2 linked regions of the Rattus norvegicus genome follow. The protein of the gene in region 1 interacts with the protein of each later gene in a biochemical or structural test. Links are inferred from orthologs where the notes say so. Each region holds a gene or a part of one and is shown on either strand. Other genes may lie near its edges.

What was found.
Region 2: the proteins of Lztr1 (region 1) and Kras form a complex in vitro, tested with the Homo sapiens proteins (2 studies listed by BioGRID, with this or other methods). The link is inferred for Rattus norvegicus from reciprocal best matches to the Homo sapiens genes LZTR1 and KRAS.

The regions. Positions count from the first base shown.
Region 1 is NC_086029.1:97,004,797-97,009,180, forward strand, and holds the start of Lztr1 (leucine-zipper-like transcriptional regulator 1), read right to left. Parts: upstream 3,056-4,384; 5' UTR 3,018-3,055; coding exon 2,827-3,017; intron 2,422-2,826; coding exon 2,359-2,421; intron 596-2,358; coding exon 539-595; intron 1-538. UniProt on the Homo sapiens protein: Substrate-specific adapter of a BCR (BTB-CUL3-RBX1) E3 ubiquitin-protein ligase complex that mediates ubiquitination of Ras (K-Ras/KRAS, N-Ras/NRAS and H-Ras/HRAS).
Region 2 is NC_086022.1:179,943,137-179,947,743, forward strand, and holds the start of Kras (GTPase KRas), read right to left. Parts: upstream 3,035-4,607; coding exon 2,924-3,034; intron 1-2,923. UniProt on the Homo sapiens protein: Ras proteins bind GDP/GTP and possess intrinsic GTPase activity. Plays an important role in the regulation of cell proliferation.

The sequences.
Region 1 (4,384 bases):
TAAGCTGCTGCCAGATTGGGTCTTCTGCAGAAAACACAAGTATGTGGCACCCACAGAAGGCAGGTAGCTCCTGTGCATGGCCACACAGCTGAGGCTGCCATTTATAGGTTTTGCATACTCTACACCTGTGTGGTGTCTCCTGGCACGAAACTAGCCCTATGAGGACAGGGTGGGACAAGAGGCAATGCTGCCAGCCTTTAAGTGGAACTCTGGGAAAACTGTCCAAGCTGAGGCCTGTCCATGCCCTGAGATCCCACAGCAGCTCCTGGCCCAGGACATTCTGGTGACTGAAGGCCCCTCCCAAGTCAGAAACTACTTACCACCAACTAGACCAGACAGCCTATAGCTCACAGGAGCTGGGATAACTTAAGACATGCATTCTCACAGAGAGCCATGAGAAGGGAAGCCATCCCAGGCTCTCATCTGTTATATTTCTCCCTGGACCTCCATGATGAGCTGACTCTATCAGCCAGTGAATCTGGTCCAGTGATGCTGCTCTCCAGGACAGGCAGAGTCCTGAAGCCCAGGGGCCACCCACCTGCACCAGGAGCAATCCTTCACGTCGAACCGCAGGAGATCATTGAGCATCGTCTTCCTGAAAGGCAGTCAGAGAGAGAGAGCTGCAGCAGCCAGGATATTGCAAGGTGTTACCTCACCAGGATCTTTAAGATGGGAGAGGGCATCCACTTAGGATTGGAGGCAGCAAGAAGGACCTGACTCACTGACCTGTCAGACAACTTGTCAATGTCCACAGCTCAAAGTTAGTGACTAGGTAGGGGCAACTAGGGCTCTCACACAGACAAGGCCAGCCTGATCGCACCACCAGCACCCCACTCAAGGGCCCAGAGCTGGAGTCCTCATTCGCAGCTCGCCCAGCCCCGAGAAGTCCTATCCTGCACTGAACCCTTCCTTCCAAGGCTGCCCTACAATGACAACATTCTGTCTCAAACAATGGTGGAGACCTGCATGCTTTTCCCTCGGCTGCCATCTGACATAACAACTGTATCAAAAGTAATTCCACTGCTCACTGGGCCAGCTTGCATTTAATATGCAAGTTGGGCATATTACCAACTTGTTAATGTGGAAGAAAGGAGAACCAACAGGAGCTGAGGCACTCCCTCCAGGGCCAGGCTTTTGCAGGGTATCTCTTTGGTGTTGACCCCAAAACCTAACAGTTTCCCCTAAAACCAGGAGACTACAGTCTGTCTGAGTCAGTTTGATAAGGAAGCCCCCACTGATGTAACCCTGAAGGATTTAAGTTAACTGACCAGGCCCCATCTCCACTGCCAGGTTTCCTTGCTCTTAGCTTCTAATACCAAAGTTGCTACTCATCTTTCCATTCTTAATGGAGGACACCCTGATTTATCCTAAGTCACAGGCAAACAGATGTGTAACTGACTTTCTCTACCTTTTCTTTTGAAACTGCATACTGAAAGAAAGCATTTCTGCTTATTACCAACCAGTTGTCTACCAGCTCCAGAAGAAGCTGAGGACAGTGGTCCTGACATCCTCACTACCCTATGCTAGACACCAGTCTTTTTTGGTGTATGAATTCTTACTAAGGCTCGTCCTTTTCTTTTACTCCGTAAATGGGTACATCTGGACACTGATGTAGGGAACTGAGTATGAAAACAGATCACAGCCAACACCAGGGGCAAGTGGCACAGGAAGAGGTAAGAGGACACAAGGCCTCATCCGTGAGGACATTAGAAGGGAGACGGAAGTGTACAAGGGCTGGGTAGCGAGGGTTGGGGACAATCCAAATACAAGGCCACCAGAGAGACAGGACAGCACTAACAAGGAGGCCACCCCTCCTATTAGGACTGGTCTTTACACAGAGAAGATGGGGACATTACAGGGCTGTGAACTGAGGAGCACGCTCTGACATGCAGTTGTACATGAATCCCCAACTGCTCTTGGAGAGAGACTGCGGATGTGAGCCAAGTTTGCATGTCCTAATAGAGAGAGTCCTGAAACCTCACTGCCTCTAGGTCAGCCGCCTCATGTAATCTACAGGACCAAGGCTGTAGTGCCAGGTTCTAGGCCCAAGAGGAAGGAAAGAAAAAAGTGACAGGCAGGGATAGCAACAAGAGCACACGTGTTTCTTCCAAAGCTATATCTCCTCACTAAAACAAGGGCATTTATTCCCACGTACTGAGCACGTGCTGCCATTTGAGTGATGGGTGAAAGGGCTTTAAGGGTAGGATCTTCCTCACCATAACATGGGAATCAGGTACAAAGCACCACACACATGGGGAAACAGAGGCTCACAAGGCAGGGCTACTAACTCCCATTCTCAGACAACAGGTCTGTCTCTCTGTCATCATCCCCTGCCACCATCAAAACAGGCAAACTTACCCATTATCTCCGCCAAACACATAGATGGCATCCTTATACGCCACGACTGTGTGTTTGCTGCGCCTAGAAAAAGATAAAAGGGGTGAAGAGTGGTGAGACTAGGACTCTTCTGGCTGGCACCCAAGAAATGAGACTACACATCTCTGCTGCCACCTAAGTTTGGATAAAGCCTCCCAACCGCTAAGATCTATAGAGATCCTTCAGTTTCTTCAGACAGCAAGGACGCCTGACACACCGGAGACTTCCCACTCATACCTCACAGCTCAGGGACCCAAACAGGATCCTCAGAAACACAGGTCTGGTACCCTACCTAGGGTCACTATGGTGTTACTCCCTGGGAACCCAGCCTTGGAATGACCAATCCATACTCCAAGACATCACAAGGGATCTCTCCCCTAGAGCCCGTCCTAAAACTTCAGCTCTCGTCCCTACTACCAGTGCCTTCAGGATCCCCTGTACACTGCATACCGAGCGCCTACGAATTCGTCGCAGGGCGGGAGGCGCCGCCAGCGATGCACAGTTTCGAAGGGTCCAAAGTTGAGCGTCAGGTACTCGACACTGTCTGAGCAGCTGTGGTCAAAGTCCACGCTCGGAGCCACCTTGGAGCTCACCCCTCCTGTCAAGGCCCCGGGCCCAGTGGGGCCTCCGGAGCCTGCCATCCCTGGTTCAGGCCGAATAGGCCACCAGGTTGCAGGACTCACGGCCACCGCCCGGGCCAAGTCAAAGGACCACACTTCCCAGAGGGCCCTGCGCCCCTGGTGTAGCACTTCCGGCCAGCTTGTCCGCCCTCCCGACAAACCTAGCGCTCCCCGCGACGCGGCGGGTTGTCGAGGAACCTGGTAGCCAGGCTCCTCGCATTATCATGTATCGATACGTCACATTCTGGAAAGCATTTTTGGCCAAGTCTCGGCTTGGGTTTCCCCTTTCAGGAAACGCAGTCTGGCTATAGTCAGCCACTAACATTCTCTAGGCAGCGGCGAGCTACACGCTCCCGGCATGCCTTGTAGTCGGGCTTTGCCATCTCCCGGAAGCCCCCCCACCCCGCCCTCCTCCAGGATGAGGTTTCCGACTTGCAGGCGAGCGGCTCAACTGTCCAACACCTTCTGCTTATGTCCCCCAACCGCCCTCCCTCTGTCCCCCTCTCCCTCCGTCCTCTCTGCGATGGGCTTTGAACCCCAGGACTTGATGGGCATGCACTCTGCCACTAGGCTACAGCACAATCGGTGGTTTTTTTAAGTTGTAGTCTATTGCCAGCTGAGTCGCCTGTGAAATGATGATTCAGGAAGTTCAGGCAAAAGGAACACATGTAGTCGTGAAATGGATATAAAGTTAATTAGTTAATTGGTCTAGTTTTAACTTTTTTTGTAAGAGCTTATAAAAAAGAGCTTATAAAAGCCAATGGCTGTCCTGACTACAAAAAAGTTGATATATAGAGTGGGACTGGATAGGTTTTTGGGTGACTACTGTAATCCAACAGAGTATATTTGTGAGTTTATAACAATGAAGTGATTTTCGATTTTTGTTTTTTCCAGACAGGGTTTCTTTGTGTAGCTCTGGCTGTCCTGGAACTAGCTCTGTAGACCAGGCTGGCCTTGAATTCGGAGATCTGCCTGCCTCTGCCTCCCAGGGGCTGAGATTAAAGGCATGTGCCACCACCTCCTGGCTGTGATTAATAATAATTATTATTATTATCACTATTATTATACCAGCTTAGCTTGCTGTGGGCAGTATGGAGTCTGCAGGACCCAGCTCCTGTCTCCCTTAAGTGGACAAATACAAAAGCTGCCTCTGGCTTCTGAAGCTTTTTAAAAACAAAAGATTTCATGTAGTCCAGGATGGCCTGAAACTTCTGACCTTCCTACCTCTGCCTGAGTGCTGCTATTACAGATGTGTCACATCATGCCTAGCTGTTAAGTGTTGGCCCAATTATACTGGGACACAGATCTGCTGATATATGTGTTTTAATTTTAAGGTAATGTTGAAGGGGCTTGCTGGGAAAACAGTCCTAACAGAGGAAGCAGAGACA
Region 2 (4,607 bases), on another chromosome or scaffold:
CTGATACTCTGGGCTGATGATACTCTGGGCTGATGATACTCTGGGCTGATGACACTCTGGGCTGACACTCTGGGCTGACACTCTGGCTCTTTGCTAGTTCTAGTTGAGTTGTGTGAGGACTTCATAAGAGATTGTAATAACCATGTCCCACTAAGAAGTTAATTGAAAAATTAGTGCATTTCATAAAAGATAAAAAATTTCAGAAGTCCAGGTGACTTGCACATGTACTATCTCCAATATTAGCATGTTCTGTGGCAGTTTTCTTAGTAAATTCGAGTCGTAGTAGCTGATGCACAGTCCAGAAGGTTATTGAATACTTCCCTAGTCAGAAAGACAGCTACTTTCTCACTTACCACAGTGGGAATTTACTTGTCTCACAGTGTCTAAATTCAGTCTTTCCACTAACTAGCTAAATACTTTACACAAGTTAGAACACCTCACAAGTTTATAGATAAAAATCAAAGAAGCAAAGACTGCCCTCTTTCACCTCCTAGGATCATACTTTACAAATTGTAAATCACTAAAAAAAGTGATGGCATCACCATTTAAATTTGTGTAAAGCTCCCTGCCACTTCTTAATGTAAAGAAACGAATGGAATCCCAAAGGCAAGCATTTCACCAGCGACTACATCCTAGCCCTCCTTCATTTTCCGCTGTAAGACAAGGGCCTCACTAAGTTGTGCAGGCTGTCCTTGCACCTGCTCTGTAACCCAGGCAGGTCTTGAACTGGAAATCCTTCTGCCTCAGAGTATGGAGTAGCATCTGTCCCCAGACTCAGCTTCCATGCTCTCTGTCATTTTCTCTCTGACATTTTTCATCAATTGAAACTTTTTGTACTCGTAGGAAGGTGGCGTTTTGATCAATCAAATCTCTTTCACTCTTTGCCCTTCTTATAGGTGAACCACACCAAGAAAGGACCATGTCAGTTTCCTCAAACTTGCCACAGATTATGAGATAAGGTATAGACTTTTCTCCAGCTGCTAACCTATCTTGGGGAATGTCAGGTTCAAAGTTCACATGTTATCAGTGCTCCTCAGAGTCAAGTCTTCTGGGTGGTAGGAACCACAACCAGGGTAAGAAATTTAAATGTATAGCCTTTTTTCCTGCCTTCCTTATACACAATAGATTGTTAGCTGTATATTACATTTTAGCAAATGTGAGCTAACGGCTTCTTAAGTTCTATTTTACCAGGCTCCTACAGTTCTGATCTCATGCTGTATATATTCACAATGCTTTTTGACGTAACAGGAGACAGCACAATGGAACACATTTTCAAGGAAAATGGAGGTTACTTCTGCTGAAAGCATCTTCCAAATTCCAGGAAAATTTCCCCATTTCACATGCATTCTATTAAAACTTCCTTTTACATTTGATTTAAATGGTTGAATATATCAAGTAACTTTGTATTTAGAATACCAGTCAAAATGGGTAAGCTTTTTGATCTTCCTCAAAGAAAAAAGGAGAACTACATACAGCAACTCAACTGACCTGTCAAAGTAAATGTATGAAGAATAGTTAGTACACAGGAGCTCTGCTTCACTGAGGTAACTCTTTTAACTTGGAAAGCAAACAAGAGTCATTTTTATGTTGAAGAACAACCTTTTTAGAGAGCGGTATACTACTACTAAAAAATTACTTGACACTTCCTAACAACTATTTAATCAACCTTCAATGTTCTAATGCTTCAAGAAGTAACAGAGACTCATCCGGGCCCTGTGACTTACTTGAGATTTCATAGCCATAGATTCCGAAGCACTACAAAATTCTTCAGAAGTCGTTTTTTTTCTTCTTTTTAAATTAGTACATGAAGTAAGGATATAGCTTAGTGAGTATAGGATTGCCTAGCAGGCCAAAGGACTTGGGTTCAACCCCCCCAGCACAGCCTAGAATGAGCATGGAGGCACACAGGCCTATAATGCAGCCCTGTCACTCAGGGGTGGAAGCTAGATAGCTAGATGATCAGGACTGCATGCTAGGTCTCAGCTACCTGAAGGAAGACCCATCTTGGGGTGCATTAGAACCTATCTAAGAAGATTGGGATATTACACATGTAGTACAGGAATTAACAAGCACTGTTGAAGAACAGCCCTTCCTGCTAGTCTTGGAGATTAACTAAAGTCTTCTTTGGTCTGGAAAACTTGAATCTATTGACAGCAACAGGATATACTACCTGATTTTTCAAGCTCTCTTTCAGGTTTTAATTCTATTATTCAACAGTTGGCCTTTAGTTAGTTAAGATTCTATGAAATGAAAAAAGTCTGACAATAATTTAAAGATCTTACTCATCAAACCATATTAAGCTTAAAAAAACTTAACCATCAAGTGATTCTATTTTTCTAATATGATCAAATTTTATCACCACATCAACATTCCAAGAAATCCAGAACAATAAAATATTTTCAAAAAATAACTTTGAAGGTACACGGTGGCACACATGTTCAATCTTAGCATTTGGGCAGCAGAGGCAGGTAGATGGATCTCTGTGAGTTCAGAGCTAGTCCAGTCTACATTAGTGAGTTCTAGACAGCCAGCACTACATAGTAAGACCCTGTCTAAAAGACACCAAACAACAGCAACAACAACACAATAACAAACAAACCCATAAAACAACAATAACAAACCTTCCAAGAGCAGATCAAATGCAAAGCTTTATTCTTAACTTTCACAAAATCATAAAATTATATTTATCAAAATGCAAATACAAGACACAGTTGGCATCTTGGACCTTATTCTCTGTGACATGTTCTCAAAAGAAGTGGGGTTCCTTGCACCGATGGTTCCCTATTACTCAGTTTAAAGCCTTGGAACTTAAGGACATCATATATAATTTTCTAACAAACATAAAAATAAGAGATATCTTTTTCAAACAAAGGATGACTGCCACCCTTTACAAATTGTACATAGAATATAAAGCAGCATTTACCTCTATCGTAGGATCATATTCATCCACAAAGTGATTCTGAATTAGCTGTATCGTCAAGGCACTCTTGCCTACGCCACCAGCTCCAACTACCACAAGTTTATACTCAGTCATTTTCAGCAGGCCTTATAATAAAAATAATAAAATATAACTAAATTAGAACATGTTCCACACAAGATTATCAAGTACTTTATCAGTATGTTAACACTCACCTTTGTCTGTAAAACTCTAAGGCATTCTGAATTCAGTGACTGCAGTTGTACAGAGTAACCCTTATATGACTGACAACTCCCTCATCAACACTTAATAGACCAGTCCTTTCATCTTCTATCATTAGCTTGTTTGATCTGAACAGCCAGACTACTCTTGTAGCAGCGAATGGCTCTCAAAGGAATGTATCATGGCTTCACTCAGTACAAGGACCCTGCACCATACTCTATACCCTGTGGCCACACCCGCAGGAGCTTGTTGACAGCTAGCTCAACACCTACCCTTGCAGTACTCATTGTTGGCTGGGCAGTAAAAGTTAGAAGTTAGAGAGCCTAAGAGCATCTTTGCCAACTGTCGCAGAAAACAGTTTTAAAGCCGTCAGTTCTGCAGTGATAGGCAACCAAATAGGAAGCTGGTGTTAAAACTGAATTGTTGTGGGGAAAGAAACATTTAGGCAATGAAGCAAATAAAGATATTTGGTAACATTTTAATCTATAAACTATCTGTGGGGAATGGAATTAACTATTTGGTGTAAGATCAGATGAATTATAACAAACATAATCCTTTGAGTACTAAAAACTACCTTAGTACCTCTGTACAAGAAAATAAAATTGAATACAATTCAGAATTAAAGACTTTTTTGGCAAGAAGAAAAATGTGAAGGAATGTAGAGATTCTCAGTAACCCCTGCGACTTGTGCCTTGTTTATAATACGCTGCACTCCCACCAGGTGCACTAAGCACCGGCAATTTATACAGTTAACAACCCCAGGTAGAACAGTTACTTTCTAGTCTGCTACTCCAAACAAAACTTTGAAATAAATATATTCACTTTATCTCCTTCCCCTTGATACCATATATTATTACAAATAAAGAGACACATGGATGAAAAGAATAGCATTAAAGTGACAACTTATTATACAGTAAGTAGTTCCAGGTCAGTGTAAGTATATATAGCGTAAACAAACACAAAATACAGTCTACTTATTGATGACCAAGAACTGTTCACACTGGTACCAAGAGGGGAAAATGCAGTTTGTTTTTCCAACTCCCTGTAGTCCTCACCCTGGGCCTGAAGCCCTCAGGAACAATACCACAAGGTCAGAAAACCATTGTCATCACACCTTCATCCAACTCCGGCCCTACTTCGCCCCACCTATCCTTTCTTGCTGCTTGTCAGGAGCCATCCGGTGAGCCATTAGTAACCTAACTTACCTGTGTGTCTTCAAGTTTTATAACAAATGTGGACCATGGCAAATGGGATAGATGAAAAGAATCACAAGGAAATGTGACCTTTGCCCCTCCCTCCTACAAACAGTGTGGCTAGTTTACAAGAGCAATTTTGGGTCCCTAAAACTTTGTGTGGTAGGGAACAGGATAAGGAGGTTAGAACTATTTTTACAGCAATTGCTTTTTAGCCTTCTTACTATTACAAGGACAATTGGTTCTCTAGGCCCTGTAATCACAATAAAGAGAAT